Linked DNA regions of Lonchura striata. The protein of the gene in region 4 purifies or fractionates together with the protein of the main gene of each other region. This does not show direct contact. Links are inferred from orthologs where the notes say so. Each region holds a gene or a part of one and is shown on either strand. Other genes may lie near its edges.

Region 1 (7,673 bases), on a different chromosome or scaffold from region 4:
AACACTTCTTCCCCAAAAATATCTCATATTAAAGTAACTGCCTGAGAACTTAAGTCTGGGATATTAAGGTAACAGGCGAAAACAAAGCATAAAGCTAAAGCAACAAAGCCCAGTGTGCCCAGGCTCCAGTAATGGTTTGTTGCAGCACAGGTCTAATAATTTTGGAAACCAAACCAAACCATCTTCTGAAGGTGGTAAGAACCTTAAGCAACAAAGCATGAAAACTGATGAAGGGAGATGTTAATCTTCTGATTATGGCATGAAAATATGAATTATGAGTTGCCTCTGTGCATTCAGTTCATTCTTTTTAAACAATTTCTGATTTTTACCACGCTGCAACTCTCTCTGCTCTTATTTTTAAAAAAGCTTTTATTACTTTTTTATTCTATTTTTACTTTGAGATTAAATGGGGCCACTCACACACAGAAAATGAAGCGCTTACGTTTCAGCACTGCTGGTTTAAATCATGGAGTATTTTAACAAATTAATGTTAAATGTTTTGTGACAGATTGTACACAGTCCTGACCAAACCTCAGGCCTGATTCTCCATCCCCTTCTGCCTGCACTGACAAAGGAGTACCTCTGGAACAGAACAATTCCAGATGCAAGAGCACCACACTTTGCCCATGCAATCAGAATTGATTACTTGGCACAGTCCAAAGGCAAAAGCTCCTAAGATTTGCCAAAAGATTAAAAATAAACTGAGGGGGAAAACCACACTTACCACACAGCACGTTGGACACTGCGTTTTGTAGGACAAAGACTTGCGGATACAAAGGGAACAATCTGGAAAAGGGAACACATCGTTGTGAGCATTATTCCAAGTGCACATCCACATCCTTGCTTGTGTATTTCCTTGTTGTACAACACACACAAGCTACTCCACAACACACAAATATTGAAAACACACCATTTTCACATGGAATTATCATTGTTGGAAAAGAACCTGCATTTTATTCAAGCACATTTCAAATATCAGCTCCTCCACCGAAAGCTGATGTTTGCTTCCTTTTGTTCCCCAGTGCAAGAAAGCCTTCCTCAGCCCCCACCACTACAGCAGTGGCTGCACTGCTCACTCCCCCACAAAAACTGGGTTTTTGACATGACTAATGCTGATCACTTTCATCTGCCTGCACAGCCCCAGACAAACTTACAATCTCCTTTCCCCCAGGCTCTTCTGCCCCTTTCCAAAACAATACCAACTTGCTGTCGAGAGAAGAGGCTGGAAAGGAGGGCAGACAGCACTGAAATGCTGAGAGACAGCTTAATGTCACCTCACCATCACAGGATGCCTCGACAGGCTGGGCGGTGAAACACACTGTCACAGTACATTTCTGTGTTTGTTACACTTTGTCAATTTATCCCATAGCTTTCACAGCCACTTAAGGATTTAAAAAAATCTCATCATTCTCCAGGACAAAATTCCCTCACTAGATCATCATAGGTCAGAGTTTCAGCACTAGTTCCTGAAAAAGATCTATATTTCATAGGCCCTCTGAGAATGCATCAGAAAAGCAGCAGAAGCATTAATTAATCCCAGAATGGTTTGGGTTGGGAGGGACCTTAAAGCTCATTTCATCCCACCCCCTGCCCCTGCCATGGGCAGGGCATCTTCCACTAGACCAGGCTGTCCAAGCCAAATCCAACCTGTTCTAAAGCACCAATTAACACTTAAAACCACATATCCATTTAAATGCTCAAAAATTACTAGACACGTAGCAAGAAGTGGTATAGGGTGAGAAAGCCATTAAGAAACAAACTTTAACTGTAGGAATAGGAATGAAGTGGCAGACCCAGGCTGCCAGCATCCAACACCCCAGCAGCCTCCCATGGCCCACGTGCAAAGATTGCTGCTCAGAGCCATGGCTGCACCAGCCGCCAGTGAAGAGAATTCCCAGTTCTGTGGCTCCCCACTCTGGCTTCAGTGGTGACAGCTCTGCCAAGCTAAACTAAACTTCACTGCCAAATGACAACGGCCCCCTTCAGGGAAGGAAGTGCTACAGTTTCTGAACCTAACAATCACAAGCATTTATTTTAACGTGGGAAAAGGCAAGGTACTTCCCTCCTAATCTGGCTTCAACAAAGCACTTGGGGTCAGGTTCCAGTCGGTATCTTGCAGGGCAGACAGAACAGCATGGAAAATTTGAGGTCTTAATGCTCAGCACATAGAGCTTTGCATTTGTACCACCCTCAAGATGTTAAGAAAGATATTTACAGTAAGAATGCCAGATGCCACATGCTTGTGTTACAGCAGGAACTACAGCAGGGAGGGCTCTGGCTGCTTCCATCTTGCCAAGCTCCTCCCAGCTTCCACGGCAAAGAGAATCGAGGCACCCTAGAACGGTTTGGGTGGGAAGGGACCCTGAAGCCCAGCCAGTTGCACCCCCTGCCATGGGCAAGACATTTTCCACTGTCCCAGGGTGCGGCAAACCCCACCCAATCTGGCCTCGGGCACTGCCAAGGATGGGGCGGCCCCAGCTGCTCTGGGCACCCTGCGCAGGGCACCACCGCCCTCCCGGGGAAGCTTCTTCTGCATCTCCCACCGAACCGTGGGAAGCCATGCCAGGCCCTGGTAAATCGTTCCTGGCCATCTCTCCTGCAGGCTCCGGAGCCTTCTGCGTGCCGGGCCGAACATCCCCGCCCGGGACCGGCCGGGCCGAACTTCCCCGCTGTCCTCCCGTCCGGCGGGACACGGCCCCGCCGCCCTCCCGCGGCACTCACAGCTGTGCGAGCACTGCGGGATGATCACGGCGATGCTGAAGTAGTCGAAGCAAATCCCGCAGCGCAGCAAGTCATCCACGGCCTGCAAGGAGAGCGGGTGAGCGGCGGGCAGGGCCGGGCCGGGGCACCGCCCGCCCCGGGACCCGGCCCGGGACAACCCCGGGACAACCCCGGGACCCGGCCCGCACGCACCTTCAGCGGGGCCAGGCCGGGCGGCCACGGCGGCTCCAGCAGCGGCATGGCCGGGCTCGGTCGCTCCCGCCGCGGCCGCGCTTCCGCCCGCGCTCCCCGCCGGCTTCCGCCCGCACTTCCGCCCGCGCTCCCCGCCGGCTTCCGGCCGCGCTTCCGCCCGCGCTTCCGCCCGCGCTCCCCGCCGGCTTCCGCCCGCGCTCCCCGCCGGCTTCCGCCCGCGCTTCCCGCCGGCTTCCGGCCGCGCTTCCGCCCGCGCTTCCCGCCGGCTTCCGCCCGCGCTTCCGCCCGCGCTTCCGCCCGCGCTTCCGCCCGCGCAGCTGCGGCGGCGGGGGATACGGAACGGGAACGGGGATGGGGATGGGGAACGGGAACTGCGGGAACTGCGGCAGCTGGAGATAGGGAACGGGAACGGGGATGGGGAACCGGAACGGGGAACGGGAACTGCGGCAGCGGGAGATACGGAACGGGGCGGGAACGGGGATGGGGAACGGGAATGGGGAACAGGGATGGGGAACGGGAACTGCGGGAACTGCGGGAACTGCGGCAGCGGGAGATACGGAACGGGGACGGGGATGGGGAACGGGAACCGCCGGGAGCGGGGATGGAACTGGTGAGAACGGGGAACGGGAGCGGGGACAGGAGCGGGAATGGAAAGGGTGAGAAACGGGGAACGGGATGGGAGCGTGGATGGGAGCAGGAATGGAGCCGCCGGGAACGGGGACGGGGATAGACGTGCCGGGAACGGCAATGGAAATGGAAGGGAGCAGAGCCCTGGGCAGCGGAGGCTGCAGGGGAACGGGCAGAGCCTGACCTGGGACACGGACACTGGCAGCCAGAGAAGGAGCCAGCGCTGAATTGGCCTTTGCTGCCTTCGGCCAACAGCAACGAGCGACACTGGGTGATGTTTCAGAGACATTGTTTTGCACGTGCAGGTATCTCCCATTTGGACACTGATGCTGGTCCAGTAAACGCTGGGAAAATCATGAGTAATCTCACTAGCGTTAAACTACTCCAGTATAAAAACTCCCACACGGACAATCCATGCACACCTAGACACGGTGATAGGTCTGTAATACCTTCCATTCTCTCTGGTTGTCTCCCAGCAGTGCATTGCATTGCCAGCTTTGTGCCCTAGAGTCACTCTTTGGCTGTTTGGTTCTTAGCCTGGGTGCAATTCCCTTCCCCACCATTCAAAATAAACCAAGGCAGAAAAAGTCCCCCAAAAAACCCTCAAACCAAACCAAAACAAACAACCTGAATTAAATTAACATGTGGTTCCTGAGCATTTTGAGAACGAGTACCAGCAAGAGCCCAGAAACAGCATGCCAGCCCCAGGAAAGGCTAAGAGCCTTCCTTCTCAGTGGGAGATGACTTTCCAGTGCCTAGTTTCCAGCAGTGATTCCCTGTGCAGATACTCTGTGTGTGTAACTGCAGTACCCCACCAGAGACCTGTGATGGACGTCACAGGCAGGGGCTGACAAATAGGAAACAACCATTTGCATTCCCATGCAGAAAAAAGGGTAAATTGGGTGAAATCCAAAGGCAAGAGAGTCAATGCATTAACAGAAGTGCTTCTTAGTTGACATTCCAGCTGTCCTGCACAGATTTTGCCTTTTTCAGCTAGGAAAGGGACGTGGGACTAGGAAAGGGATGTTGGGAGCAGAGTTTGGATACAAATTGTTGTCAGTCTGTTGTGCCATATGGCTGCTGATTTGCCACCAAAATGCCCATTGCTGGGGCTTCATTCCTTTGCTAAAAACTGTTTGGGTTGTTCTGCTGCTGTATTTGCCACTTCATTGCTGCCTTCCCCTGTTCCTGAACATGAAGCAGTTCTCAGCCCTTGCAATGCAAGGGTAGCAGACCTCCCTCCACTCCATCTCTCTGCAGGGTAAGACAAGACATGCCCTGCTCCTATGAAGGCTCATTTCTATTCCCTGTAAATTACTGGGAATTGCAGGAGAGGCCTGAGAGCTCCTCGTGGGGCTCTGGTCCCTCAGCACTTCCCAACCCTGATTTAATTAAGAGCACAGCTTTCACCAACAAGGCGTGCATGCTGTGCCATGGATTTTGCATTTGTGCCGCTGGAGCTTGTGCCCAGAGGTGCCCGAGGGCAGGGATCCCTCCCACCAGCCCCGTCCCTGTGCACAGAACGCCCCAGCACTGCCTTGCCACGAGGCTGATGAGTGCCAGGAGCCACTGGAGATGCATTTCCCTGGCCCGTGGGGCCTCAGCAGAGTCTGGCTGCTCCTTGTGCCACTGTCTGTCACCTCCAGCTCAGCCCGCTCTGCTTTCCATTGGTGAGCTGCTGCTCATCACATCACTGAGGTAAAACACTCGCAACAAGAGAATTTTGAAGAGGCAGTTTTGGCTTCTGCTCAGCTTAGCCTGCTTACGCCTGGATTTATGTGCCAGAATGAGACTAAACAGAGGGAGACGGAGCCATTTGTCACCAGAACACATGCAGAAAAGGCAGCTCCAGCTTGCTCCAGTAGTGCACAAACCACTGCTGATGAGTCTGGGTGAGATGTGTGTTGGGATTGATGCCAGTGGTGAAAAACAAAACCTCTCGGGTGCTGGCAGCTGAAACACCAGGTAATTACTTAATTGACTCCATGATCTCCACCTTGGAGGAGCAGCCTGCAGCACTCAGGCTAAAAGCTGAAGCTCATTAGTAATTCTGGCAGCAATTAATGTCCCAGACCATGGAAAGCAGAAGCCCAGAGCATGGCTGGTGCAGCGTTTGGAAGCTGAGAGACACCTGCACCCATCCATCTGGCAGGAGCACTCACCTGTGCTGGACCCAGCAGCTCCTCCTGCTCTGGCCAGGGACACTGACCCAGAGTGTCCAGAACTGAGCTCCAGGCAGGGAAACGACACCAAAATTCAAGCCATATCAATAGAAATTCAGCACAGACGTGAATTAGCCCCATTCCCTGGTGGGTGGCACTGGGCAGACTGGCAGCCACAGGAGTCCTGCTGGGACATGAGGAGGTGGGAGCCTTGGGACGGGCAGGATCAGCGGGGCCAGGAGCAGCAGGATCCAAAGCCACGAGCAAGCAGCAAAAGGGAAGGCGTGGCTGCACACAGGGCTTGTCCCCAAAAACCTGTGAACAGTGTATAACTTCTTACAGGAAACAATCGTTCACACAATTCCCATGGACTTCGGTTGCCACACCAGGGAGGAGGGAAGGCATTACTCATGCACTAGCAGATGTTTTGTCTTACATAAGACTAGATTTTTTCTTTCTTTTAAGAAAAAGGCTGCATCTCACCCTAGAGCCTTCTGAGAGCCTCCTCACCCTCGGACATTGCCACGGCCTCACAAGCTCAGCACTGCCCTGCTCTATGGTACAGCTCTGCCAGCTTCAGCACTCGCCAGTCATTGCTAAATATATTATTTTTATAAAGGCTGTCTTGAAAGGGGTAAAAAAAATGGATGCAGCAACAGTTTGGAGACAGAAATCCAAGAGAAGCTTCATCAGTGCTCAGCAGCAGCAGGCAGCGGTGGGTAACGCAGCCAAGGACAGGATTTCTTGTCGGCTGAGACTCCTCCAGGAGGGAAAGCAGCTCGCTGCCTTTGAGTGGGATGGAAGGTTTGGGCTGAGCGCTGCTGACAGCCCTTCCTGGCCCACAGGGAGCCCAGGCTCGGGCCGGGCTGCAGAGCCTGCCCAGCCCGTCCCTCGCTGCAGAGCTCCAGCCAGGCTCCCGTCACCAAACCTCCGGCTGCCCGGCAGCTGAGCCCCTTAATGAAGAGATTTGTCTTCGTTAGGCACAACCAGACACACGTGCATGAGTCTCGTGCTGACGGGGCTCGGGTGGGATTCGGAGCTGTCCGAGGGTGCCTGGCCTTCGGAGGCTGTCAGGAGGCTGTTATTAGATTTAAAGCCTGGGATGAGCTTTGCTCCTGAGCTGAAGCTTCATTTCCAGCACACAAACCTCCACGGATTTTGCACCATCAGAGACTCCAAGCCCAAGCTTCTGGAAGGCTCCTGGGGAGGGAAGAGGCTTCTCTGTGGAGCAGAGCAAGGCTGGTTTACCTGCAGTACTTATGCTGATCTGATGCATGAGATATTTAAAATCCAGCAAATTACACTTTTATCTCATGAAACACTTAAACCAAACTGTTTCAACAGCTGCTGCCTCCCACCCAACAAGAAGGGGAAATGATCCCAAAGGGCAGCAGGAATGTGGTGCTGTTTTCCAGCTGAGCTGGGATCATACAAAGGTTTCCAACTGCTCCACAGTATTTACAGAAGATGGGTAATGCTGCAGTCTCTCAGGCCTGCTAAAGCCCGGTTTCCAGTGTTTCTATAGTGAGGCTGTAGGTGGGTTTTAAGGGGAAATAATAAAGTTTTCAGAAGTTGGGTAAATATCCTCATTCTGTGCCTGCAGCCAGCTCAGGTGTGGGATGCAGCACAGCCTCCCCAGGGAGTGGGATCGCTCAGCCCTGGCTGCTGAGTGCTGCTGCAGGGCTGCTGCAGGGCTGCTGCAGCCAGAGGCAGCAGGGTGGGGACAGCTGGGGGCACCAGGAGCACTCAGACACCACCACACCAGCACTGGCCAGCCAAGGAAGGGCTCCACTCCAGGGACACGGGGACACTGTGCTGGAGCAGGGGGCAAAAACATTCCAAGAAAAATACTAAAATTGAAATCAAGCTCAGAATGCACCAAACCCTCAGCAGCACTGGCTGGTGCCAGCACTGTCCCTCCCAGGCTGATGAGCTATCCCTGGGCAGGGCCAGGGGAGCTGACATCTGACA
Region 2 (7,717 bases), on a different chromosome or scaffold from region 4:
GGAAGTGAAAACCATTCCTTGTTTAACACTAAATAATCCCACAGGACACTTAAAAAAAAATATTTGAAACTGTAGACTAGACAGTAATATGAAATGCTAATGATCAGTAAATTCTGTATGAGTAGTTACAGCACAAGAAATAATCCCAGTGACAGATCAAACATGTCATCTCTCAGAGCCAAGACAACGCACAACAAAGCAGACTGCACCATTGCTCTGTTTTAGTGATTTCAAGCAACCAGGTATAGAGAGGCAAGTTGTGTAATTCTTGGTTCATTATTGCAGTTAGTTTTTCTTTTGTAATCTACTCTGGCAGTGATTTCTACTGTGCTATGTTAGGAACTCTGTCACACCCAGAAACAGGAATACCTGAGATACTCATACTCCAGGGATACACTCAACGCTCATGTTTTAAACTTCCCCATGCTCAGATTTCTAACAGGCATTTCAACATGGCATCTGTACTATTATTTTAATTTCAGCAGTTAGTCCCTAATTCTGAAGTTGCCCAGCATCAATGATTTCCTGCAGTCTCAAATTTGTTCAAAAGCCGAGTGCGGTACTGCAGTGGAGATACTGAGATGATCAGTTTTAGAGGCTACAATGCCACAAAGAGTCTTTTTTACCTCACACAATTTGATCAGCAGAACAAAAACAAAATTCATAGCACTTGGAACTCTTGTTTGCAAACTGACTTCTGTAGACTTCATAGCTAATGCAAAAGACAATGTAGTGCTGCAGGAAAAAACTACAGCAGTTTATTGTAAAACATGGTAATAATAATTTGACTTCTAATTTGACTAATAATAACTTGACTTCTAACATTGACACAATTATTATCACCTCTCCCAGTTGTGCACAGACAAGTTCCACAGACATACTCCTTTCACTTTGTATCAACACTACCTGACAGCAAGCCACCCCAAATTATTTACACCCAGTTCCATTGGTGCTTGTAGTGCCTTCCCTCACAGAGCTGATTCAGTTGTTCTAGAACTCTAAACTCAGGACCTCAAACTACCTGGCATTGATAAGTAGGTAACTTTAAAACGAAAACATTTTGTTTTCAATAAAATTTGTGAAGTGACTTTCATAACTACATCACATTTTTCTACACCATAATGTAGAAAATTCTATATTACGATAATTTCTACTACCATACATAGCAGTAGCTACATTTACTTATTTAGCAGTAGAGTATCAGAAAATATCACTCAAGCTACTTATTAAATGGCAACAAGTTCAGTCTAAATACTTCCAATCAAGTTTAAGGATTTACTTGGGCCAAGTATTTAACTCCTCAAATGCCTTAAACTCAGGCTTTCAAGGAAGACAGGAGAAACTGAAGCAACATCATTTTATAAGGTCCTCAGAGGGGCAGCAAACCAATTAGAATAAACATACCTGAAAATTCAAATTTCATGTTGCTGCAATAAAACCTTCCTGTTTATACTGTCAACTGAGTGAAGCCATAAGGGACCATGACATTCTGACTATAAACAGGATAAAATGTAATAACTGCATCTGGATGCAGGAGATGGATCTAGACCTGACTATGACCATGGGAATCAATAATCCATCAACCCACAATGACTGTGGGTTTGTCACTGATGCACATTTTCTTCCCTTCTGAGAGAAAAATAAATTAACTTTTCTTCTTGATCAGCATGCTGCAGGAGTCTGACTGGTATTTTAATAGCTCAGAAGTTTACCTGTCTGATCTGACACTAATTACAAATCCACCAAAGCCCTGGTTACTTTATCACCAGGTCAGACCACAAACTCCTGCTCAATACACTTCAAAAATAGACAGGTCACAACACAGAGGAAAGGACACACTGACTTACCCGCTGTAGTGTGTTTTTACCCTGATGAAGTCTTTGTTCAGATCAATTTTTGAGCCCATTCTGCTAGGCATGGTCTGTATTTAGCAGTTATATAAAAGTATGCAGAAATAAGTTGATTCAAAACAGATAACAGATTCTGAAGAGCTTCACATGTGAAATGTGTTTCTGCTCCAGATGATTCTCAATCCAGCTGCATAGATAAAAACCCAAAATATTGATGAATATACACACACTGCTAAACAAATGAGTTGTGTCAAATTTTAGAAACACAGATAGCTTTACATAGAACAGCAAAAAAATCAAAAGGAAAATGTGTAAGACCATTGACCTGCACAGAAATTAAATAAGATTGGTTAAAAATACCCTGTACAATTTAGCTTTACAGAAGTAGACCAGGTATTTGAGGATGTTTTCTTAAAATCATCGACTAGCTCCCTAGTGGCTGAAATACTCCACAGAAGTTTTTACTTATTCATCAACACAGCATCTTACTCTTTTCTCCCAAATAACTAAAAATAGTTTTTTTCTGTAAATAAAACATTGCAGTCAATTACTATCAATTACAAATCTACCCAAGGGAAGCAGCAGAGGAACTCCGAGGGGCAATTTAGCATACCTTTATGATTGGAGCCTGACAAACATCCTGTTTATTCCAAACTACCACCTCACACATGAATGTGTGTATGCACGCACCTCCGTAACCCCGCTGTCCGGGCAAGCCGGCCCACAGGTACCGGGGAGCGGAGACCCCCGAACCCTCCACCCGACCCTCCGGGGGGCTCAGGGCAACACGCGGCCCCTCCGGGGGCTCAGGGCAACACGCGGCCCCTCCGGGGGCTCAGGGCAACACGCGGCCCCTCCGGGGTCCCCCCTCAGCCCCGGCCTGCGGGGAGCGGCCGGGACTCGGCACCACCGCTCGGGACGAGCCGGCGCCGGCACTTCCCCGGACGGAGCGGTGTCCACCGGGACCGTCCGGACTCTTACCTGCTCCGACCGCGGCGGTCCCACCCTACACGGTGGGGCTCCGCGGCGCGCAGGGGCCGCTCCCTGAGCCCGGCCCGGCTACACCTCCGCGGCCTCAAGTTGCTCAAAGTCCCGCAAGGAAGTTTCCAAGCGGACTTTGCCTCGCTGCCGGCGGTGCCCCGGCGGGGAGCGGCGGCGGCGGCGGCCGGCGGAGGAGCCGCGCTGTCCCTCAGGCGCCCCGTCAAGTCCCGCCCCAGGTGGCCCCGGCGCCCCTCAGCCGCTGTCCAGGCTCAGCGCCCCGCGCCCGCGGCAACATGGCGGTCTGAGGGCGGGAGCCGCAGCCAATGGAGAGCCAATCCCCGCCCGGGTCCCGCCTGCCCGCCGCCAATGGCAGCGCGGGAACCGTTACCTGGGGAGCCGGAGCGTCCCGGCCAACCAGAGCGGGCGGGGGGGCGGCGGGGAACACCTGCAGCCAATGGGAACGCGGCGCTGCAGGGAGCGGCGGCTGAGGGAGCGGGGGGACAGGTGAGAGGGGACTGTGCTGAGGGGAGAGGTGAGAGGGGACAGGTGTGAGGGGACAGGTGAGAGGGGACAGTGCTGAGGGGACAGTGCGCAGGGGAGAGGTGAGAGGGGACATTGCTGAGGGGACAGTGCTGAGGGGACAGTGCTGAGGGGAGAGGTGAGAGGGGACAGTGCTGAGGGGACAGGTGTGAGGGGACAGGTGAGAGGGGACAGTGCTGAGGGGAGAGGTGTGAGGGGACAGTGCTGAGGGGACAGGTGTGAGGGTACAGTGCTGAGGGGACAGGTGTGAGGGGACAGGTGAGAGGGGACAGGTGTGAAGGGACAGTGCTGAGGGGACTGTGCTGAGGGGAGAGGTGAGAGGGGACAGATGAGAGGGGACAGTGCTGAGGGGACAGGTGAGAGGGGACAGTGCTGAGGGGACAGGTGTGAGGGGACAGGTGAGAGGGGACAGTGCTGAGGGGACAGGGTTAAGGGGACAGTGCTGAGGGGTCAGGTGTGAGGGGACAGGTGTGAAGGGACAGTGCTGAGGGGACAGGTGAGAGGGGACAGGTGTGAGGGGACAGGTGTGAAGGGACAGTGCTGAGCGGACTGCGCTGAGGGGACTGCTGTGACGGGAAGGTGTGAGGGGACAGGTGAGAAGGGATTGCTGTGAGGGGACAGTGTCAGGGCACAGTGCTGAGGGGACTCGGTGAGTGGACAGGGGAGGAGTGTGAGGGGATAGTGCTATGGGGACAGGGAACTGGTGCGAGGGGACACTGCTGAGGGGACTGCTCAGGGGACAAGGATGAGGGGACAGGTGAGGGAGACAGGTGTCAGTGGACTCGTGTGAGGGGACAGTGTTGAGGGGACTGCTGTCAGGGGACAGGTGTGAGGGGCTACAGGACATGTCAGGGAGGACAGGTGTGAGGGGAGTGGTGTGAGGGATAGAGGACAGTGCTGAGGGGACAGGGGACAGGTGTGAGGGGACAAGTGTGACAAGACACTGGTGTAAGGGGACTGGTGTGAAGGGGCTGGGGACAAGTGCTGAGGGAACTGGTGTGAGGGAACCAGTGGGGAAGAACTGATATGGGGGCAGAGGTGAGCTCCTCAGGGGACAGATGTGAGGGGAAGGGACATGTGCTGAGGGGATAAAGGCCAGGTGCTGAAGGGACAAGTGTGGCAGGACAGGCCCTCTCTGTCTTCCCCGGTGCTGCCAGAGCTGCTTCCCAAGAAATCTCCGCAGGAAGCCCCAGCAGTGATGTCCCATGAGTGTCAATCCAGCAACCATCCTGGGGAGGGGCCACTCAAAGTGGCTAAAGCAGGAACATCACAGCTGAGATAATAAAGAGGTAATAATATCAGACTGGCCAGACAAGAGAGAAAAACATTATATTAGTGGTGGAGCAACTAGAGTTCCACAAGAGGCAGTCTGTGACATGTTTAATGCTTTGTAAAGTTTGGTTTTGATGTTCTTCCCTGATGATGCTTTGATATTTTGCTTCCAAACTGTGAATGAATGAGGATCAACTGCTTTTTCCTCACGGAAAGCTGGGATGGTGAACTCAGAGAGTCCTCTAGTGGAAATGCTGCTCATCCTGCCCAAACAGCTGTTTTCCTGGTGTAATTTAAAACTTTTCTAAGAAAATAAGCTATCCAAGCAAAAGGGTTTCTTTGGGGCTTTTCTTGATGTATTTATATCCACCATTGGGAAACATGAGCCACCCCATTTGGAAAACAAAACAGAAGACACAACTATTAGATTTTTTTTTGGGCTAGCTGGATTTGTACACCTCCATCAAGTTTCTTCAGGCACATTTAGCACTTTCTCAGCACTTTTGTGGAGCTTTTGGGGTTTGTGAGTTGGACAGTTTGCAGCAGTGCAGTTCTGAGGCTTTTTTTGATGTTTCTACAATCTTCCAAAATACAAATAAATAACAGTTGGCACTAATTTAATTAGCAGTAAAATGGAAAATGTATTCCCATCAGTTGAGATGTTTTCTCTGACACCAAGGAAATACACCCCATGGCTTCATTTATCAGTCTTAAATTGAATTATTTGTGTGTCCACTGCTAATTTTATCTTATTTGGAACGCTCAATTTGGTTTCAAAGTGGGTCCTTAAATCTTCATGTGCTCCAAATTTTTCTGCTTAAAATGGAGAACATTATGTAAGGTAGGTCTGCAAACATAATTCTTTCAGGTCAAGGTAGTCTTTGATCTCCATGTCAATTAAATGCTTCATCTCCTTGAGCTGTTGGATTGGGAGATAAAAGGTTCTTCAGAGCTGTGATCTGAAGTTTTGTGTGGCTTATTGCTGTTTTTTCTTCTAGCACAACTTACCAAGGAGAAAAGCTCAGGTGTATTTTCAGTGCTTGACGAAAAAAATCTCAACCATAATATTTTTATATCTCACTGAGATATTTTGTAGTTGTTCACTTGCTGTTGTTTTGGGTTGGTTTGTATTTTCTTATGTTACAAGACTGTTTAAACAGTTGAATTTCTCAATAGATGCTTCCCACTTCTGGGCAGATGGCAGTTTTTGGAGAGGACCTTGACTTTGTTCTATGCATTAGCTGACAAGGTTGTAACTGGTTTGAAACACAACAAGTTGTAAATCCTGAGTGTATTCCTCACCTTTTTGCCCCACCCTATATTTTTCCAGATGGCAGGCACTTTCGTCTTCTACCAAGCCATCTTCAACTTAAAAGTTGCAATATTTCTGTCTATTCTACCTAGATGTGAAGAGCTGACAGGCTCCTACCAGCAATTTAATTGAATTTTATTTTATTCCAAGTGTAAATAAGATATTTAAAATTCTAGTTCTTTTAAAAATCACCATTAGAATATTTTCATATCTAATCTTTCAAGAGCAGTGATTTGAAGCAATTTGTTTGAGAAAGAGAAAGCTAAAGAAGGTTTTGGTTTTTTTCAAATATTTCATTTCTGAAATTCTACATTCAACCTCAGCATCCAATCATGCCACAGATTATCTGTATCAGCAAAAATGTGATTTATTCAAGAATCTAATGATGGTAGTTAGTCCAACTGCTGCAGCCTGGGAGTCTGATGTGAATTGTCTTTTTGAGTTAAAGTTATGAGTTTTCCGAATATTCTCCATTATTTCCTGGCACTGAGGTAAATTCCTTTCAGGCTGTACATCAGCACGTTTCCAGCAGATGGCAAGAGACTCCCAGGCAACTCGCTGGGAGTCACGCTTGTGCAGACGATGCTTACAAGTCGTACGTCTTTATTTAGTGCTTCAGTGTGTTGAGAACTCTCCTTTAAAAATCAGTTTAAAACTTAAAAAAAATATATAAATATTTGGGTTAATGACTGCATCAATCTAAAGTACAGCTTGAGCCATCAGACACAAGGTACTTGTCTGTTTCTGACAAGGCTGACCAGAAAACTCCTCCCTCCCAAACACTCCAATGAAAACATCGTTATGGTAGCTACTTTTCCCAGACAATTGTTGCAAAAAAGGGTCAATCGGTACTAATTTCACCTCGGTAGAAGACAGGTATCCTGCTAGTACTTGAATTCATGACTCAAAATCTTCAGCTATATTAGGACCTTTCAAGTTTGCAAGGTTTTAAAGATTTAGTAGGGATTAGAATGATGCTTTCACACTGTGAACTAAACAACAAAGAAATTGAGAGAGACAGCTCATTTCTCCAAGTGCATGTGAAGCATGAGTAACCAGTTCTGTATCACTTGAGAATAAAAATGCCTCCCCATAGAATGTCTCTTTAGCAGATCAAACCAGCAGCATGTGCAGGCTGCTCTCCAGCCTACTTACTCTCTTCTTTTGCCAAGGAAGAGACTAGATATTGTTTCCATTGAAATAACTGGCAGTGAAATCCTTGGGTGCAGTGGGAATGAATTTGGGCCAGGTGCCACAAAGTTTGGATAAAAATAATAAGGCAAAGCATTAATATATTTGAACATAAACTCGAGTAAAGCAGATATTCTCCATAATATCAGAAATCACCATGGCAATTCTTTGTAGATTTTCTTGCTGGCTTGAATATTAGTGTTTTTCTAGCCTGTGTTAAAATAGACAAAATGAATAATGTTTCAAGACTATTTTAAGCCAACACCTCCCTTACTTGTCTGTCTTATATAAGATAGAAGCAACCAGAAGCTGACTCTCTTGTTGACACCTCATTAGCCAGGAGGAGAAAGAATTATATGAGTAGCCCAAACTACACATCTTTAAAAGCAACTAAACCCAAATCTTTGTGCTTCTGTATTTACTTTTTCAGGATATTTAAACAACCTGTTTGATTTTACAATACTGTGTGCACTGTAATTGATCAAGAACATATAGAACCTCCCGTCCTTTATATATATGCACATACAAGGTTATATATAAAAGTTTCACCTACAAAGATGAGGGGTAGGAT
Region 3 (7,867 bases), on a different chromosome or scaffold from region 4:
AAAACCCCGCAATTACCCTAACATTAACTAATGAGGAAGAAGGGATGATTCGTACCTGCTTACAAACAAAGCCCAGCCCACGGGAGGAACTCCCATCACGTCAGAGGCAGCGCAGCTTAATGGTGACATCAGTGCAGGACTTCGTCCTGTCTCAGATCCGAGCCCCGCAGGAACTGTCCATGCATGGCAGCCATCGAAATTCTTTGGCTTTCAAGGATTACATACTTTAAACGTAATTCAGTAACAAAAGTTTTAAAAAGTCAACAACCTCACCCTCAGGCTGGAATAAATGTTGAATCTTACCACAGCAAGCAAAGGGTCAGATTTTCAAACGTGCGATTTTTATTTTTTCCATGTTATTTTATACATATTTGGTGCAAATACCAAAAGGCTCATAACCCACTCGTATTTCCTAACATAGTTTGCTCAATACTATTAGAAAGCAGGTAAAAGACAAGTCCAACTGTGCAATTCCATTATCTGAATCCCTGAAACGTCTGCATTTTCTACCAGATGCTGCCCTCCATCCCATGAAACAGGCCTGCACTTGAGGTCCTAGAGACACTGGAGGAGTAACTCAAGCACAGAAGGCTCCTTGCCACCTGAGCTCTTTACAAGCCTGTGCTGCTCCCCTGGGAGAAGGCAGGAGAGCCATGGCAGCACACCAGGAAGGCACCCGGGATGCCCACTCAACACTCATGTATGGGTCTGAAACACAGCACAGAGCTGCCCTATGCATGTCTCCATCATTGACAGAACATGAGCTGCACTGACCTTCTCTGGCTCACCAGTCATTAAGATTTTACTCAGAAAAAATATTATTCCAAGTCATGAGAAAGGGGGAAAACACGAATTTTAATATATAGAGAACTAGAAGCTTATTTTGGGGTTCCCATACCATCAGTAGGAACTCTAGTCTGGGGTATAAAGTTTTATTTTCCATGACAAGAAAACAGGCTGACTGGAATTCAAGTACTATGGGGAATTGCCAGGGCAAGCTCAGAGCAGTTACCCAAAGTGAATAAACTAAACTAACAAAAGGATTGTGCTCCTGCTACTGCAAGCACAGTTGGGCTGTGCTGGCCCAGCCTTGTCAGCTGAGGCACAATTATTGATTTGGAATATCTAAATAAAGAGCTGTACATCACGGAGAGCCTTCAAAGCCCAGGCCACTCCACAGGAATGGTCCCTCCACCTCCCACACAGGCATTTCTTTCTCTTCAGAATTGCTCATTTTCATAGAAGGAAGATGACTCCTCTGTGATATTAATTGAGGTGCTGTTAAATAATGCATTAGCAACAAGTAGTTCTAGGAATGTCTTGAATCCTGCTCCATAATATGCACTTGAGGGACAATCCCTGTTCATTAGGGCTACACTTCTCTGTACAAACACCAGAACACACCACATGGCTGATTCCCTCGATGTATTTTAAATCAAGGAAAACACACAGCAGGGAAAACAGTAAACCTGGAGTTCTGGGCTGAGGAAACAAGTGATTTGGGTTTGTAAGCACATCATACTGACTCTTTTCAACCTTATAAGAGCATAAATAGAAGACTTCACCATCATAGTACTAACTTAGCCGGTATTTGAAATAACAGCTACCAGATATTCCTGTGCTTGCTGGTTAAAACCACATGAAAAATGAACACTCTAAAAGAAATCATCCTCATTCAAGTAGAGACCAACCTTACACTCTCCAGAAGTTCCAGCACTATGATGCGTTACCCTTAGACATCCACACAGCTCAAGTCCTGACTGCTTCACCTGCACTGCTGCTGTAAGACCTCACTAGCAGGAAAGGAGGGGACAGAACACTTCAAAAAACAACCAGAGAGATCCATGTGTCCACCAATGGAAAACACATTCCCACGTGGATGCACTTACAATCTGCCTAGGCAATGAAAAAGGTGTTTCAGCGCAACATTTATTAAACTAACGGTGATACTCCAACTCATACTGTACATCCAGCAGTTTTACAACTGGAAGTTATTACAAATATAAAGCAGAACAAAAAAAAAAAAAAATCTAATTTTTCTCAGAATATCTAAGTTTTGTCAGAAAAACTTTGCCTAACCAGCAAATAAAAATTAAAAATAGAAGAGACGTGGATACACGCATGGGGGAATTTACAGAGCTGGGCAAAGCTGTGAGCACCTGACAGAGGTGATCTCTGCGGGAACACACAGGTACACACTCCTGAAACATTGCCAGGGTAAAAGTCTCCCGGGGCCTCTAAGAGAAGGCAAACTCCACTTTCGGATAAGCCAGCCAGGGCTCACCTCTAGCTCTACTGTGAGCCTATGCTGTACCGCACAACAAGCTGCAGAAAGACATAATCATTAGGGGAAAAAAGGTAACTACAGAAACAGTCACTAACAAACGCACTCACCGCAATTCGGACAAAGAGAAGGTCTCGAATTATCACAGGACTTTCAGGGTTGGAAGGGACCTCTGGAGATCATGTAGCCCACTCCCCAAGAATGTCTCTAAATACCTCTTTTGGCCCAGTGATCCCACACTTTCCCTAGAGCACATATTTGTCTGTACGTCTTTCATTCTGTCCAGAAACTCAGGGGTCAACTCCACTTACCTGTTTTTTTTTTAAAGCACTTCAAAACCATTTACATTTCGCGCCCGCAGACAGCGCACCCAGCAAGCGACCCCAGCGCTGGGCAGCGGGGCCGGGGGAGGGAGCGCCGGGCCCGCGGCCTGCGGAGCGCTCAGGCCCGGCGGGGCCGTGCCCGGCGGCCCCTCGGGCAGGTGAGTCAGCAGCCGTCCCCATCCCGTCCCCGCAGCGACACCGCGGCCGCGCGGGGCCGGCCCGCTCCTTCCCCCGCGCCCGCGGCCCTCGGGCGGCGGCAGCTCCCACCTTGCTCTTCACCTCCATGGTGCCCAGGCCGCGGCTGCCCGCGGCGCCGCGCGGAGCCCGGCTCATGCCGCGCGCGGTCGCTGCTCTGGCTCCTCCGTCCGCCGGAGCGCCGCGGGACGGGCGGCGGCGCGGCCCAGCCAAAGCCCGGCACCCGCGGCCGCTCCGCCGCCTCCGCCCTCAGCGCGGCCGGGCCGGGGCGGGGCCGCGCGGCTCCGGCACCTGCCGGGCACCGGGGCGGGGCCGCGCCGCGCCTGCGCCGCCTCCGCGGGCCGCACCTGCCCCGCCGCGCAAGATGGAGGCGGCGGGGCGGGGGCCGTGAGGGGCCGTGAGGGGCCGTGCTGCTGGCCCGCAGCGGGTCCGGGCCGTGAGGGGCCGTGAGGGGCCGCGCTGCTGTGCTGCTGGCCCGCAGCGGGTGCGGGCCGTGCCTCTGCTTCTCTCCCCGCAGCGGGTGCGGGCCCGTGCGGGGCTCTGTGCTCCTGTCCCCGCAGCGGGTGCGGGCCGTGCCGCCGCTCCTGTGCCCGCAGCGGCCGCGGCTGTGCGCGCACGGGGCCGGAGCGCGGCTCGGCTCCCGCTGCTTCCTCAGGCACCTCCCGCCCCGGGGAGCCGCCATCCCGCGGCTCCGCATCCTCCCGCGGCCCTCGGGAGCCTCCACGGCGAGCTCCGGCTCCCCCACAGCCCTGCGGAGCCAACCTAACCCTCCCACAGCCCCGGGAGCCTCCATGGCGATCTCGGGGTCTTCCGCATCCCTGAGGAGCCAACCAGACCCTAACCCACAACCCCAGGAGCCTCCATGGCGAGCTCTGGATCCTCCACAGCCCTGAGGAGCCAACCCTGGCCGTGGCGAGCTTTGGGTCCTCCACAGCCCCAGGAGCCTCCATGGCGAGCTCTGGGTCTTCCACATCCCTGAGGAGCCAACCCTAACCCACAGCCCCAGGAGCCTCCATGGCAAGCTCTGGGTCTTCCATAGCCCTGAGGAGCCAACCCTGGCCATGGCAAGCTCCAGATGCTCCACATCCCTGAGGAGCCAACCCTAACCCACAGCCCCAGGAGCCTCCATGGCGAGCTCTGGGTCTTCCATAGCCCTGAGGAGTCAGCTCTAGCCATGGCGAGCTCCGGATCCTCCACAGCCCTGAGGAGCCAGCTCTAATTCTCCCACAGCCGCGGGAGCCTCCATGGCAAGCTCTGGATCCTCCACAGCCCCGAGGAGCCAGCCCTAATTCTCCCACAGCCGCGGGAGCCTCCATGGCGAGCTCTGGATCCTCCACAGCCCCGAGGAGCCAGCCCTAATTCTCCCACAGCCCCAGGAGCCTCGTGCTGCGCTGCTGCTCCTCCGCAGCCCTGCGGAGCCGCATCCCGCGGCCCAGTGCCCCTCACAGCCCCGGAGCCCCCGGGTCAGGCTGCCCTGGAGGCTCCGAGCCCTCAGACATGGAGCGTGGGGATGGACTGGATGATCTCCAGAGAAAGATCGTTTCCAGTCCCAGTGATTCTGTGATTCAGGGATCCTGGGATCCCACGGATGTAACACGCAAACCGCACCAGTGCTAGCTGATGTTTGCATGTTACATAAATAAACCTTGGTCAGGCCAAAAGTGTGACGTCTCCCTCTCAGGATGTGGCTTTATGTCCATCCTGAACGTAAAGCTGTTCATGGAGCTTGTTTTCATTTTGGTCACAAATAAGATTGCAGGATCTGGTAATGTCAGAGCTAACTTTTAAATTTCATTTAAAGGCCAGTTAAGCTACCCTGACAAAAGTACAAGGTTTAGAAAAAGATTGTAAACTGTCTGAAAATAAATTACTTCTCACGTGTATGGACAAGAAGAAAGCATGTACATTAATCTCATTATGTCAACAGACCTTTGAATTACAGGTCTCTCCATTATCTATGAACCTGGTGGAAGAGAATGCCGTGTGAGGTTTCATCATGTGTGGATGCCAGTGATGGTAGCTCAAACAATGCCTTGCACCTGAGGCACGCCACGGGTGTCTAGTCCTCAAGTCTCAGTTGGTAATCAGTAATTAAATAAAATGCATCCAGTGCTGAATCACTTCTAAGTCGGTGCTGATTTTTGTACAGTTGATCTTCCTCCCATCACGCCAAAGGCAAAGGAATTGCAGCTCTCACTCGAGCCAAGACAAGCTGTAATTAGCACAGAGGATATTGTTAATAGTTAAATATAGTTTGCTGCCAGACGGTGTCTAGGCTGATTCAAATCTTCTCATCCTTTATCCAGCATGTTTTGGTTTTACACTGCAGAAGGACACGTAGAGAATTCAACCTGTAAATTCAGATAGAATCTGTGATCCTGGTGCAGTAGAAGGAAGATTACAGCTCTGAGAGCAAGACCAGGATAAAACCTCTTATTCTGTCACTTTGTAATTATAACATTGAAAAGAGTTTGGACTGCTTTCCATATCTGTCTTCTACAGCTCTGTTTAATGAGCTGAGCACAGAGAAGAGTGCAAGAGACAAGGGAACAGTGATTTCTCTGGGGCTTTAAAGCTGCTGGGTTGGCTCTTTTCTCCTGGAGAAAGGGAGGAAAAACCTCCTGAAGCTGATTTCTGCTTGGAGCTGTTGTGCAGTTAATTTTACTGCTATAGATTTATGAGGTATCGCCTAAGATAATTTGTTTTCTATTGTGCATTCCTAGCATGGCTGGAGTGCCAGGCAGTGGGTGTGGGAGCGAGCCTGAGGAGTCAGGGCAAATTCATTTCAAGTCACTGGAACCAACCTAATAAAATGTATTAATCACTGGCTGGCTTTCATCACAAGGAGCTGACGTACGAGGAAGGAATGTGATAAACAATTTGATCTCAGATAAAGGTGGGGAGTGAGGCAGGCTCTTTGTAAGGTAAGCTTATAGAGCTATTTTAGTCACAAGTTCTGTACAACCTGTGATTCAGACCTGGTCAAGCTATTCACGGCACGTTCAGTTTCTGTGAAGTTGAAAGACAGGTTGGGTTTCCTGATCTCTGAGCAGCTGGGGAAGCTTTTTTGGGAGGCCTTTTTCTCCCCATTTGTTTGTTTTTGTGTAGAAATTCCATCACTTAGGTCCACCATGCAGTATAGTGAGATTGTGCCAAGATGTTGGTTTCCTATTCCAGATTTCTGAGATTTTAAGTGGAATTGTATTCCATACAGCCCTCCTGGGATTTCAGAGAGTATTTCCAAGAATAAAGCACAGAAAATTGCTGTCAGCATAGGTTAACTATATTGATGATCCACCTAATCTTTTATTACATAGTTCAGGGCTTATGCTGATTTCATATTTAACATAAAGTAGTCTTTATTTACACTGTCAGTGCCAGCTCAGAGGAGTGATTGTTAGATGCACTAGATTGTAATCTGAGCTTGTCTTGGAGTTGATGAGAGACTGGAGAGTTTTTTATGGGTAGAGAAAACTAAAGGGGAAAAAGAGAAGCTTTATTTTCAAAATGTTAATAAAATTCTGCTTTCTTTCAAAAATAAATCCTGTACTTACAGGCTTTCTTTTTGATACCTTCTGCAATTTTGATACATTAATGTTGTGTCCCAGTTACATTTCCCTACAAAGAAGCATTTTCAACAGTAGTGTGTGCTCTTGGATACTCCATTTTCACAATATTAGGGACCAGCGTGACCTCAAATTGCTTTTGGCCTCTCCTTGATAAGTGAGTGCTGGAGACAAACCAGTGCTGTCATGGGGGCGTCTGATGGTCACAAATACAAAATTATTGTAGAGCACTACTTCCCACGAATCCATAAAATCCATTGAATACTCTCTGCTGATAGTGCTGATCCCGAGGCAGGATGTGAGCTCACAAGTGCTGCATCAGAGAGGAAGAATTTGAGAAGGGGAGCTTGTTACCCTTTATCTCCATGGAACACACTCCACACCAACAGCTCTACACAAAAACAGCAGCAAGGCTCAGCAAGAAAACCCCAGGGCATGGCAACGTAGCTGCTTCATTAATAACAGCAGTATTTGAGTAGCACTTGTGTAATAAAAATTTTATTTCTTACACTGAAATTGTGGCAGTTACAGGATTTTAATTTGGGATGGGTTTTTTGTTTATCTGTTTGTTTGAGTTTTTAAAATTTTATTTTACTGAGGGGGGAAACAATAGTTGGGTTAGTAATAAGTTTTTGTGTTCTGTTTCTGCCTTTGCTTTCTTCTTTCCTGTCAGGAAAACTAGCAGCAATTTTTCTTCTCCACTCCTCCTCCAGGAACCTTTAGTTGTTACTTTGATGCAATATTTACTTACCTGTCTGTGACAAAATGAATTGATTGTTTTTCAAGTTCATATATAAGATCTTTTCCGATAAAATATTTATAGTTTCCTGGGGTTGGGGGGGGTCTTCGTTGGTTTGTACTTTTATTTTGTCTGCCTTTATGGGAAAGGTTGTCTTCATACCATGCTGCCTGTGAAAGAAACATTTGTTTCAGGTGTGTTATAAATCCAGTTATAAACTTGGTCCAGCAATAAACTCGTGAAGTTTTCTGAAAACCCCTTCCTAGCAAGTCGAAAGCTGATATTGATACATTCATTTAAATTCTCTGAGGTTTCTAACTAAAATAATGAAAAGCTTTTAAAGCTCTTTCTTCCCCTTCATCTAGCAATCCATTTGTGTCCAATGACTCTGAATTCCTTTGAAATTCCCCCTTGTTTAGAAGGGCAGTTTGGATCCCAGCTGACCCCTCAGCTTGCACTCGTGTGGGGTTTAATGATTTATCTCTCTGCCCGGAGCGCTCCGAGAAGCCACGCTGGTGCTGAGCTGCCCAGGCCACTGCGAAACACTTCTGGGGATCTTTACACGAAAGAATTCCTGAACATTTCCTGCTTGGTTTTCCACTACTCACTGAGTGTTCCTGGTCCAGAATTTTAGTGGGGTGGGAAAAAGGGAAAATCATGTGGGCTCCCCAGTTTCCTGAGCAGCAGCTCCTGTTCTCAGTGCCTGGTGTCCCTCTGGAGTGGCCATGCCCTGTCCCCCTGTCCCCCAGCTCCTGTTCTC
Region 4 (7,742 bases):
CAGATCAGTGTGCTGCAGCCCTCCCACATCCTGGATGGAGCCTCCCGGTTAGTATCCAGCCAGTCAGCTTGGAGCTGTTGGGGAGCAGGAGTGTCTTGGGACTGTCCCTGCTTGTGAGGTCTGTGAGGTGCTCCCAGCAGCAGTTTAGGAGCTGCCACACATATCCAGGGTGCCAAGAGAGCCCTGCTCCATGACCCCCTAGCATCTCTAGTGAGGGGGTGACATTTCCATGAATACCAGGTCCTGCAGCAACAGAGCCAGGGCTTTCTAGGCCAATTAAAACAGCATCTTATCCTGCCCTTCCCTCTGCAGAGCCAGAGGTTTTATAGGGTTTCACCTGTGCCTCATCCTTGGAATGTGCTGCCATCCCTGCTTCAGTGGTTACAAAACCTTGGCTTTGGGACTTGGGGTTCTGCTTCTGCCTCAGAGTCTGTGTGGTGCTTGTGTGCAGTCCCTGCAGTGCTTTGCTCTTGACTTTGTTAGTGCTGCTTCTTGTGAGGGCGTGGGGTAGATGTGAGCCACGATCTTGCTCTGGTCTGACTACAGGAAAGCTCTGGAAAGTAATTCAGTTGCAGGGAGTAATTCAGTCTTTTGAGGAGTGAAGCCTTTCAGGAGACCCAAACTAGTCAGAACTAGACCCAAAATGAAGGGAGTTTTTGCTCTCTCTTTTCTCTGCTGTACTCATACTCTGCAGTGTTTCAATCCCGTACCTGTGTGGGTGTGTTCCCCTGCAGGCTGCAGGAGGACCCAGAGGCCATGAAGATAGACTTCAACGTGTATCAAGCAGACGCAGTGTCCAAATTTAAGAAGACAAACCCTGGGAAGCCCCATGTCAGGATGTGTGTTCGGAGGTACCAGTGAGTCTTGTGCTGTTTCTGAAACTTTGCAGTTGTTGTGGAAAAGAAGTGCTAATGATCTGTAAATGACCCAGCATCTTGTGAGCTTTACAGATCATCAGAGTGTCTCATTTGAGGGTGGTCCTGCCCGCACAGGATTTTTTTTTTTCTTTCAGTTCCTCCTGCTTTGTTGGTGTCTGTGGCAGTTTCCCCCCCTTCCCCCTGCCCTTGCATTCAACCCACACTGTTTGGTCATCTGGTTGCTGCTCTGAGTATGTCTGAGTATCGCTGGGAGTCAGGAGAAAGAAGCCACAGCTTTTATGCAATGCTTGTGAAATTCAGGTAGAACCCAGCGCTATGGGAGCTGAATCCTCAGTCGGTGCAGATTCACTGTGGATTTCTGTAGAGAATTTCTGCAGAACTTACTACAGGCTCTGAGCCATGGGTTCAGCATTTTGATCTTTGTCAAGTGTAATGTTAAAATCACCAAGAACAGAGGGTAGGTGTCCCCTTTCTTGCTGGATCCAGGACCTGGTACTTAAACTCCATAGCTAGGTACAAAGTTCAGTTTCTGCCTTTTCTCATTTTACTTTACTGAAACTGTCCCTCTGCTCTCTGCAGCTGTAGTAGACAGAGCAAGGAAGGTGGTAATGCAGTTTTACCAAGGTATGTCATGAACCAATAGGATGATCCTTGTTGCATAAATATTTTCCTTGATGAGCTAACATACTCTGCAGAATTAAAAGGAGGGAGAAAGCAGGTCAGATGTTGATCTCAGCAACCTAAAGAGCTTTCCAGCACAAAGATATTAAGATTGCAGTGGATTGACCATTTGCCAATATCACTGTGACCCGTATCTAGTGGGCACAGCGTGGAGCAGTGTGCAGTTATCCTTGTTTTTGGCAAAGGATTCAACAGCTCCCAGTTCCTGGCATACTGGATACTCACTCTCAGGGCTGGCAGCTTTTTGCTCGGACTGCAGTGGATGAGGAGAATCACCACCAGCTCCTCAGGCCAAAGGGAGCTGTTGTGATGGCTGGCCAGGACAGCTTTGCCTCTGTGTTCCTCTTGCTTGGAGAACAAACAGGATGTTTTTTTCTCTCTGTAGCTTTGATGAGCAGATCCCCTCCCTGCGGGCTTTGAAGCAGGTGACGTATCTGAGTGGGGATGTCCCGTTGGTCTTTGCACTGGTGGATCATGGAGAAATCACCTTCTATTCACTGAAGGAGTTCAAGCTGCCTGTTGATATTAATCACTGAAGTTGCTATCACTTGGAGAAATGGGATGGGATAAAAGGAAGAGCTTTACTCAGGAGCTGTTTTCCTGATTAATGAAATATTACAGAAAACAGAGCCTGGGATAACTGGAACTTTGGGAAGTTGGCCACTTTATTGGCTGTTACAGACTTCACCCACACAGATGGCTCAGGCATAATGGTTAATTTACAGCGTACAAGTCTGTTTGGCTTAGCTGGGCTTTTCTGGGCTGGAGTACACACTGCTTTGTTCTTGAAACCACTGGCTCTCCGGCTTTCTCACCTCATGGACCACCAGCCTGCTTTCCTGAGTAATTTTTTGCTGACTGTGGACCATTAGAAAACACTTTGCTGGTGATCCTTTTGTCACAAGTAAACCACTGTGCTATATCAGTGGAGTGGTTGGAGTGTCACTGAGGTAAATCAGGGACAGAATAAGCTGATCAGTGCTGGTGGCCTGAGCCTCTGTCATTCAGCTGTGTCAACGACCATCAGATCAGAGTCTGGTCTGAAAAAGGCACAGCCATAAATTCAGTCACCTGGAGGAAAGTGTCCAGACACTCAAGAGCAGGAAACTGTGCCTTGAACACAGTTTCACGAGCCAGAGGCCACAGAAAGTCCCAGAGCATTGCAGATGGCAGCTTGGCCTCCTGAGCTTCATTTTGGCCACCCAGTGTTAAGCCGTGCTAAAACTTGACCACCACTATGAGCACACTGCATCTGGCAGTCTCACCAGGGCTGAGCTGCAGCCCCTCTCTTTCAGCCCAACATCCTCTTTCCTGGCTGTGGATCCTTGTTATTTGTCTTGCACGTGGGAGGTCCCTGAGTAAAGAAAAAGGCTCCAAATTCCTCATGAGTTTTCCAATCTGGTCTCCACCAGCATATCTAGGTACCAAATTTGCTTTAGCCTCTATGCCAAAAGTGCCAGGTGTCAGAAGGTCTGCTCAGTGGGTGGAGGTGAGCTAAGCATGGCTGTGCTTGATATCAAAGTTTTCAGAACTGTAATAGCAACTGGTTTAGATGTGTTTTATTTGGTATTTTTTTAATTCCTTTTGGACATGTGGAGAAGGCTGAGCAATAAAAAAAACCCTTTTCCAACGACGCAGGCTCCTTGGTGCGTTTCTTAATTACCCTAGAAATGTTAAATTATGCAGAGGGAGGCTGTGGAGGCTACTGGGACCCGAGCAGAAGCAGCAGCTGGTGAATGCCTGCTCAAGGTCATGCAGCCCTGTGGCTGCGTAACCCTGGTAACCCTGCTCCTACGCCGGCCGTGCTTGGCTGCAGCCGCTGCCCTGACCCCGGGGAGGGCAGCGTGACTCAGAGCCCGGAGGTGTCCCTGCATCCGCGTGCAGTTCCTGTCGGCACTCCACACCTCTTCCTCGTTCATCTTCCTCCTGCGTGCTCAGAGGTATCATAGCCCGGGGTGCCGCGGCTCTGCTGCCAGCGCCTGTTTCGCACACACGCCCCAGTTATCAGATGCTGGAAGTGGCGGGGCTCTCCTGAGGTGAGGGGTCTGGCGGCTCCTCCCACGCTCCCTCCCCTTCCTCTTCCTCCTTCCAGCAGGGCTTTGGCTCTGATAGTTTTCGCTAAAGCCGGGGTTGGCAGCCCCGGCTGCCCTCAGCATTCTCTCAGACTGTTTTACAGATTAAAGGCAGTGGCAAGGGAGTTTCTAAGAACAGGCGCAGCCAGGAGAAGTGCAGCCTGACCCACAAAGCTCAAGTTTGTCCTGGAATTAGGTCAAACTCACTCCTGTTGATTTCAATCAGTCTCATCTCTTTATGCCAAGGTGGAATTGTATCAATGAAGTCTACCAGAGCCACCCAGTGAGTTTCACTGGGGCAGAGACTCCCTGATTCAGCACAAGACAATTACAGTTTAATAACCACTGCAGAGAGGATTGAGAAACTGTGGCTGTCTTGCTCAGCACTGTAACATCTGATGGTGCCTTTACCCACCCCAGAACAGGAGCATGATCCAGACTGATACCACTGCTCCATTTTGGCCTGGGATGCAGATTAGCTGCTCATTGCAAGAAGATGAAAGAACCAAATATTTAATTGAAAAACATCACTTTTGGAAACGCGGGTGAAATACTGTTACTGGACCCTTGTCAGAGGTAATTTCAAGTTTTTGCATGGATGCAGAGAGGGCAGACCTTCACCTAGCCATTGCCCTTTACATAAATACAGCTTCCTTGTCCATCTACTGTTCCCTGCAGCAGGACGCAGGGTGGCTGCTGCGGGGCGGTGCAATGGGACTTGGTATTCCTCTCTCCAGCGAGTGCTTCGACTCTTTGCAACGTCTGCCTATTTTCGCAGGCAGGGCTGTGAAAGCTGGGAGCTCCGTCGCGGGGCTGGAGCCCGGAGGAAGGGCCCTGGAGCCCGGCCCCGGCTTTCCCCGCCGCCCTTTCCCGGCCTTTTCCCGGCGCCGGCTGCCCGCGCTCCCCGAGCCGCGCGGTGCCGCTCCCTGATTGGCTACAGCGAGCGCGCTGCTGAATTATTCATGAGTGCGCTGGCCGAAAGGGAGGCAGAGCCGCGGCTTATTTGCATGCGAGGCCACGCCCACGCGCGCGGTTTGTATATCGTGGCTCCGCCCACGGGGCGGCCCCGCCCCGCCGCGCCCCGCCCGGAGGTGCCCGCGGAGCGAGGCCGCCGCGCAGCTGAGGGGGAGCGGGCGCGGAGCGGAGCGCGGCCGGGGCGGCCCGGCCCCAGCCCCCGCAGGTGAGCGCCGCTCGCTGGGGCCGCGCGGGGAGGCGGGAGGCGGGAGGCGCTCCCGGGAGGGGTCCCGGCGCGGGGTCCGGCCGGCACGGCCCCGCGGAGCTCTCCGGGGCGGCCCCGCCATGCCCGCCCGTGCTGGGCTGCGCGGCCGGGCCGGCAGGTGCTCGCTGGTTCCCCCGAGAGGGTTCACTCCGCCGGTGCCCGGCTCTCCGCCCTGCCGGGCCGGCCACACCTGGAGCCCCGGCGCACCCGGGGACTCCGGCAGTGTCTCCCCGTGGAACTTGCAGCGGAGGGCTGCTGGCGTTTTGTTCGCTGTTGCGTCCGGTCCCGGGCTCGCCGCGCTGTGCCTGCACGGCCGGAGCGCGGCAGCTCCGCATCCCGGGATTCCCCGGGGGAGGTGGCGGCAGTGGCCGCTCCGGGACTTCCTGCCGGGCCCTGCAGCGGGACCGGCCCGGGGCCGCTCCCGGCGCGCGGAGCCTCCGCGGGGCTGCGGGAGCCGCTCCCGCCCGGTCCCGCGGGCAGCGGTGCCCCGCTCGCAGCCCGGCCCCGCAAGCACCAGTGCTGCCGCTGGCTCCGAGCAGCGGGTCTTGGAGAAGACAAGAGCTGCAGTGACTCTGAGTCCCGTGGGATATTCTGTTAGCATTTTCTCTCTTTTTTATTTCCTATGCCCGTATTAAATGCATCTTGTCACTACTAGTGGTTTTTCTTTCTCCTCCCCGAAGTTGAGAACTCGCTGAATGAAAGAGCACGTTGATTCCAGCAGGCAGCGAACAGGTGTAATAAAACGGTGAAGGAAGTTGTTCAGCCTTTGTCTCAGGTTGCCCTTCATTGTGCCACGGGAACAGGCTCTTGCTGGTATCTCCCCTCCTGGAGCTGGGGCTTAACCTTGGTATTGGAGAAAGCTTTGCCTGTTTGTGTTTAGTTTTGTTGATGGTGTAGAGCAGTTGAATCACACTCCCGGGTGTGTGTTTCTGCAGCCAATGACACAAAACCTTGTGCTGGTGTGACAGGAGAGGGGGACAGCTCCACTGAGATGGTAGAAGTAAAAGTCCATTGTCATGTCTTACTTGATGGGGAATGCTGCTCTTTGTAGTCATCTGAGAGCACTTCAGTCAACTGGAATATCTGGCTTTACCAAGTCCCAGCTGAAGCTGTGTGCCCAGAGCAGCTGCCTGGTGATCTTAACTTTGAATCGGGAAGTTGCTGCTTCTGGCAAGTGGAATGCAAAGTGCTGGTACGTCCCAAGGCTCCTCCATGCATCCTGGCACGTTCCTTGTCGGGGTAGACTGACCCGTGGAGAGGATGAGGATGATCTGTGCCAGTAGTGAGCAGTCCCTAATCCTGCTCAGTGCTGCTTGTAGCCTGTCAAGGGGCTCTATATAGTTTGTGGTATTGGAGAGGGAGAAGAGTTCTCAAACATCTTCATAGGATGGTACTGAGGAATGTCTTTTATTTGGTTTTGAACAAATTGCATCTGCTATAACAGCTGACCAAAGAAAAGTACTGGAGGAGTTAAACCAGTTGAGAGCCCTTTATCTTCCAGTGGCCTTTGGTATGGTAACATAATTATTCCTGGGAATTGCTTATGGAAGAGGTGTGGCTTTTCTTGGCTGACAATAGAAGCTTGAGAAATGTCAAAGACCAAGGGAGGTTTTAAACCTATGTCTTGCATGGCAATAAGAGTATGTGATACTGCTAGTACAATAATTTTTCTTTAAAATACCAAAGGAGGCACTGGTTTGGTTTCTATGCAGAAATTGTGTGGAAACTCCAGTTCTCATATACGCATTTCTCAAAGCTGGATCTCTTTATGTTGCTTTATGAAGCAAATGCTTTCATGGTTTGCTCCATTGACCTACTGTTTGTAAAGTGCTGCTCCAAAGTTACAAGCCCCTTTTCTGTTTGATTCACGCTCCTTAGCAAAGCCTACAAAAGGTTTTGCATCATGGGCAATAATGTTGTTCAGTGCAAAGACTTTGTTCTGCTGTAGCATTTTGAAACTTTGTGTTGTCATGCCCCCATGACAAGGAGAACACAATAGGAGTCCTAATGACACACAAGGTTTGCACAATTCCCAAATTCATTGCAGGTGGGCGGTTCCTGGTAATTCCAAGTACAAGGCTGTTGGCAGTACATGAACTTGCCTGAGTTGTGTGATTACTTCTCAATTATTTTCAAAGGCTTCTTGGAGAATCGATGTCTGATAGTTTGTTTAATATTGTTTGTGTTTTAGGAGGGCAGCCACTTGCACATAGTGTTACCACAGTCTGTTCAGTTGTTCATTTCACTGTCTCTCCAGATTCACTGAAGTAAATTCCTTTTAAAGGATCTTTTGGTTTTCCTTGCTGACTACTGTATGCAAGGTGCACCTGAACACTCTCTTGTTTATGAAAATGCAAGTGGCAGGGGGTAGCAGTGGCTCAGCAGTTGTGTAAAGGAGATCTCTGCATGGTCTCATTAAACTGAGATTAATGTTAGAGCATCTTCCTTCTCCTGGGAAGAGGAGGTGGTGTCTTACACTTCTCTCTGTGTACTGCAACTGCTCCTTCCCTTGCTTTAGCTGTTCTGCTTGGTTTGTGCTTTTCTTGAGTATCTGCCTTGACAGTGTGTCACAGCCAAGCAGGGTGGTAGAGGTGAACAGTTAAAGAATAGCTCAGGCTCGTTTCATTGATTTCAAGCTAAAATTGTTCTTAAATTTGTCCTTTCACAGTGAGTCATGGCACCTGTAATGGAAAAATGTGATAAATCTGGTGTTTAAGTGATACTTTGCTCAGTTCTGTTGGTGTGAGATCGCTGGTGCTAAGGAAGAGCTTTTTGCTGTGCAGCTGACCCAGCCTCTATTGTCTCACTGTTGACTGTGTTGGTAACAGCAACAGGGCAAACTCCTGGGTGCAGGAGAGAACCTGGTTCAGACAAGGCCATGGGAGTGACCTT

What was found.
Region 1: the proteins of LLGL2 (region 4) and RAD18 purify together in Homo sapiens (affinity purification with mass spectrometry; 3 studies listed by BioGRID and IntAct, counting the BioPlex papers as one, with this or other methods). This does not show direct contact. The link is inferred for Lonchura striata from reciprocal best matches to the Homo sapiens genes LLGL2 and RAD18.
Region 2: the proteins of LLGL2 (region 4) and PRKCZ purify together in Homo sapiens (affinity purification with mass spectrometry; 7 studies listed by BioGRID and IntAct, counting the BioPlex papers as one, with this or other methods). This does not show direct contact. The link is inferred for Lonchura striata from reciprocal best matches to the Homo sapiens genes LLGL2 and PRKCZ.
Region 3: the proteins of LLGL2 (region 4) and PARD6B purify together in Homo sapiens (affinity purification with mass spectrometry; 7 studies listed by BioGRID and IntAct, counting the BioPlex papers as one, with this or other methods). This does not show direct contact. The link is inferred for Lonchura striata from reciprocal best matches to the Homo sapiens genes LLGL2 and PARD6B.

What each region holds. Positions count from the first base shown.
Region 1 is NC_134614.1:23,724,191-23,731,863, forward strand, and holds the start of RAD18 (E3 ubiquitin-protein ligase RAD18), read right to left. Parts: upstream 3,007-7,673; 5' UTR 2,962-3,006; coding exon 2,914-2,961; intron 2,804-2,913; coding exon 2,722-2,803; intron 787-2,721; coding exon 725-786; intron 1-724. UniProt on the Homo sapiens protein: E3 ubiquitin-protein ligase involved in postreplication repair of UV-damaged DNA. Postreplication repair functions in gap-filling of a daughter strand on replication of damaged DNA.
Region 2 is NC_134626.1:2,733,272-2,740,988, reverse strand, and holds the start of PRKCZ (protein kinase C zeta type), read right to left. Parts: upstream 3,001-7,717; 5' UTR 2,832-3,000; intron 2,038-2,831; 5' UTR 1,919-2,037; coding exon 1,848-1,918; intron 1-1,847. UniProt on the Homo sapiens protein: Calcium- and diacylglycerol-independent serine/threonine-protein kinase that functions in phosphatidylinositol 3-kinase (PI3K) pathway and mitogen-activated protein (MAP) kinase cascade, and is involved in NF-kappa-B activation, mitogenic signaling, cell proliferation, cell polarity, inflammatory response and maintenance of long-term potentiation (LTP).
Region 3 is NC_134619.1:1,171,541-1,179,407, reverse strand, and holds the start of PARD6B (partitioning defective 6 homolog beta), read right to left. Parts: upstream 3,009-7,867; 5' UTR 2,941-3,008; coding exon 2,875-2,940; intron 1-2,874. UniProt on the Homo sapiens protein: Adapter protein involved in asymmetrical cell division and cell polarization processes. Probably involved in formation of epithelial tight junctions.
Region 4 is NC_134621.1:4,677,818-4,685,559, reverse strand, and holds the start of LLGL2 (LLGL scribble cell polarity complex component 2), read left to right. Parts: upstream 1-4,729; 5' UTR 4,730-4,811; intron 4,812-7,742. Other genes in the region: TSEN54 (tRNA-splicing endonuclease subunit Sen54), read left to right, coding at 1-47, 735-857, 1,945-2,095. UniProt on the Homo sapiens protein: Part of a complex with GPSM2/LGN, PRKCI/aPKC and PARD6B/Par-6, which may ensure the correct organization and orientation of bipolar spindles for normal cell division.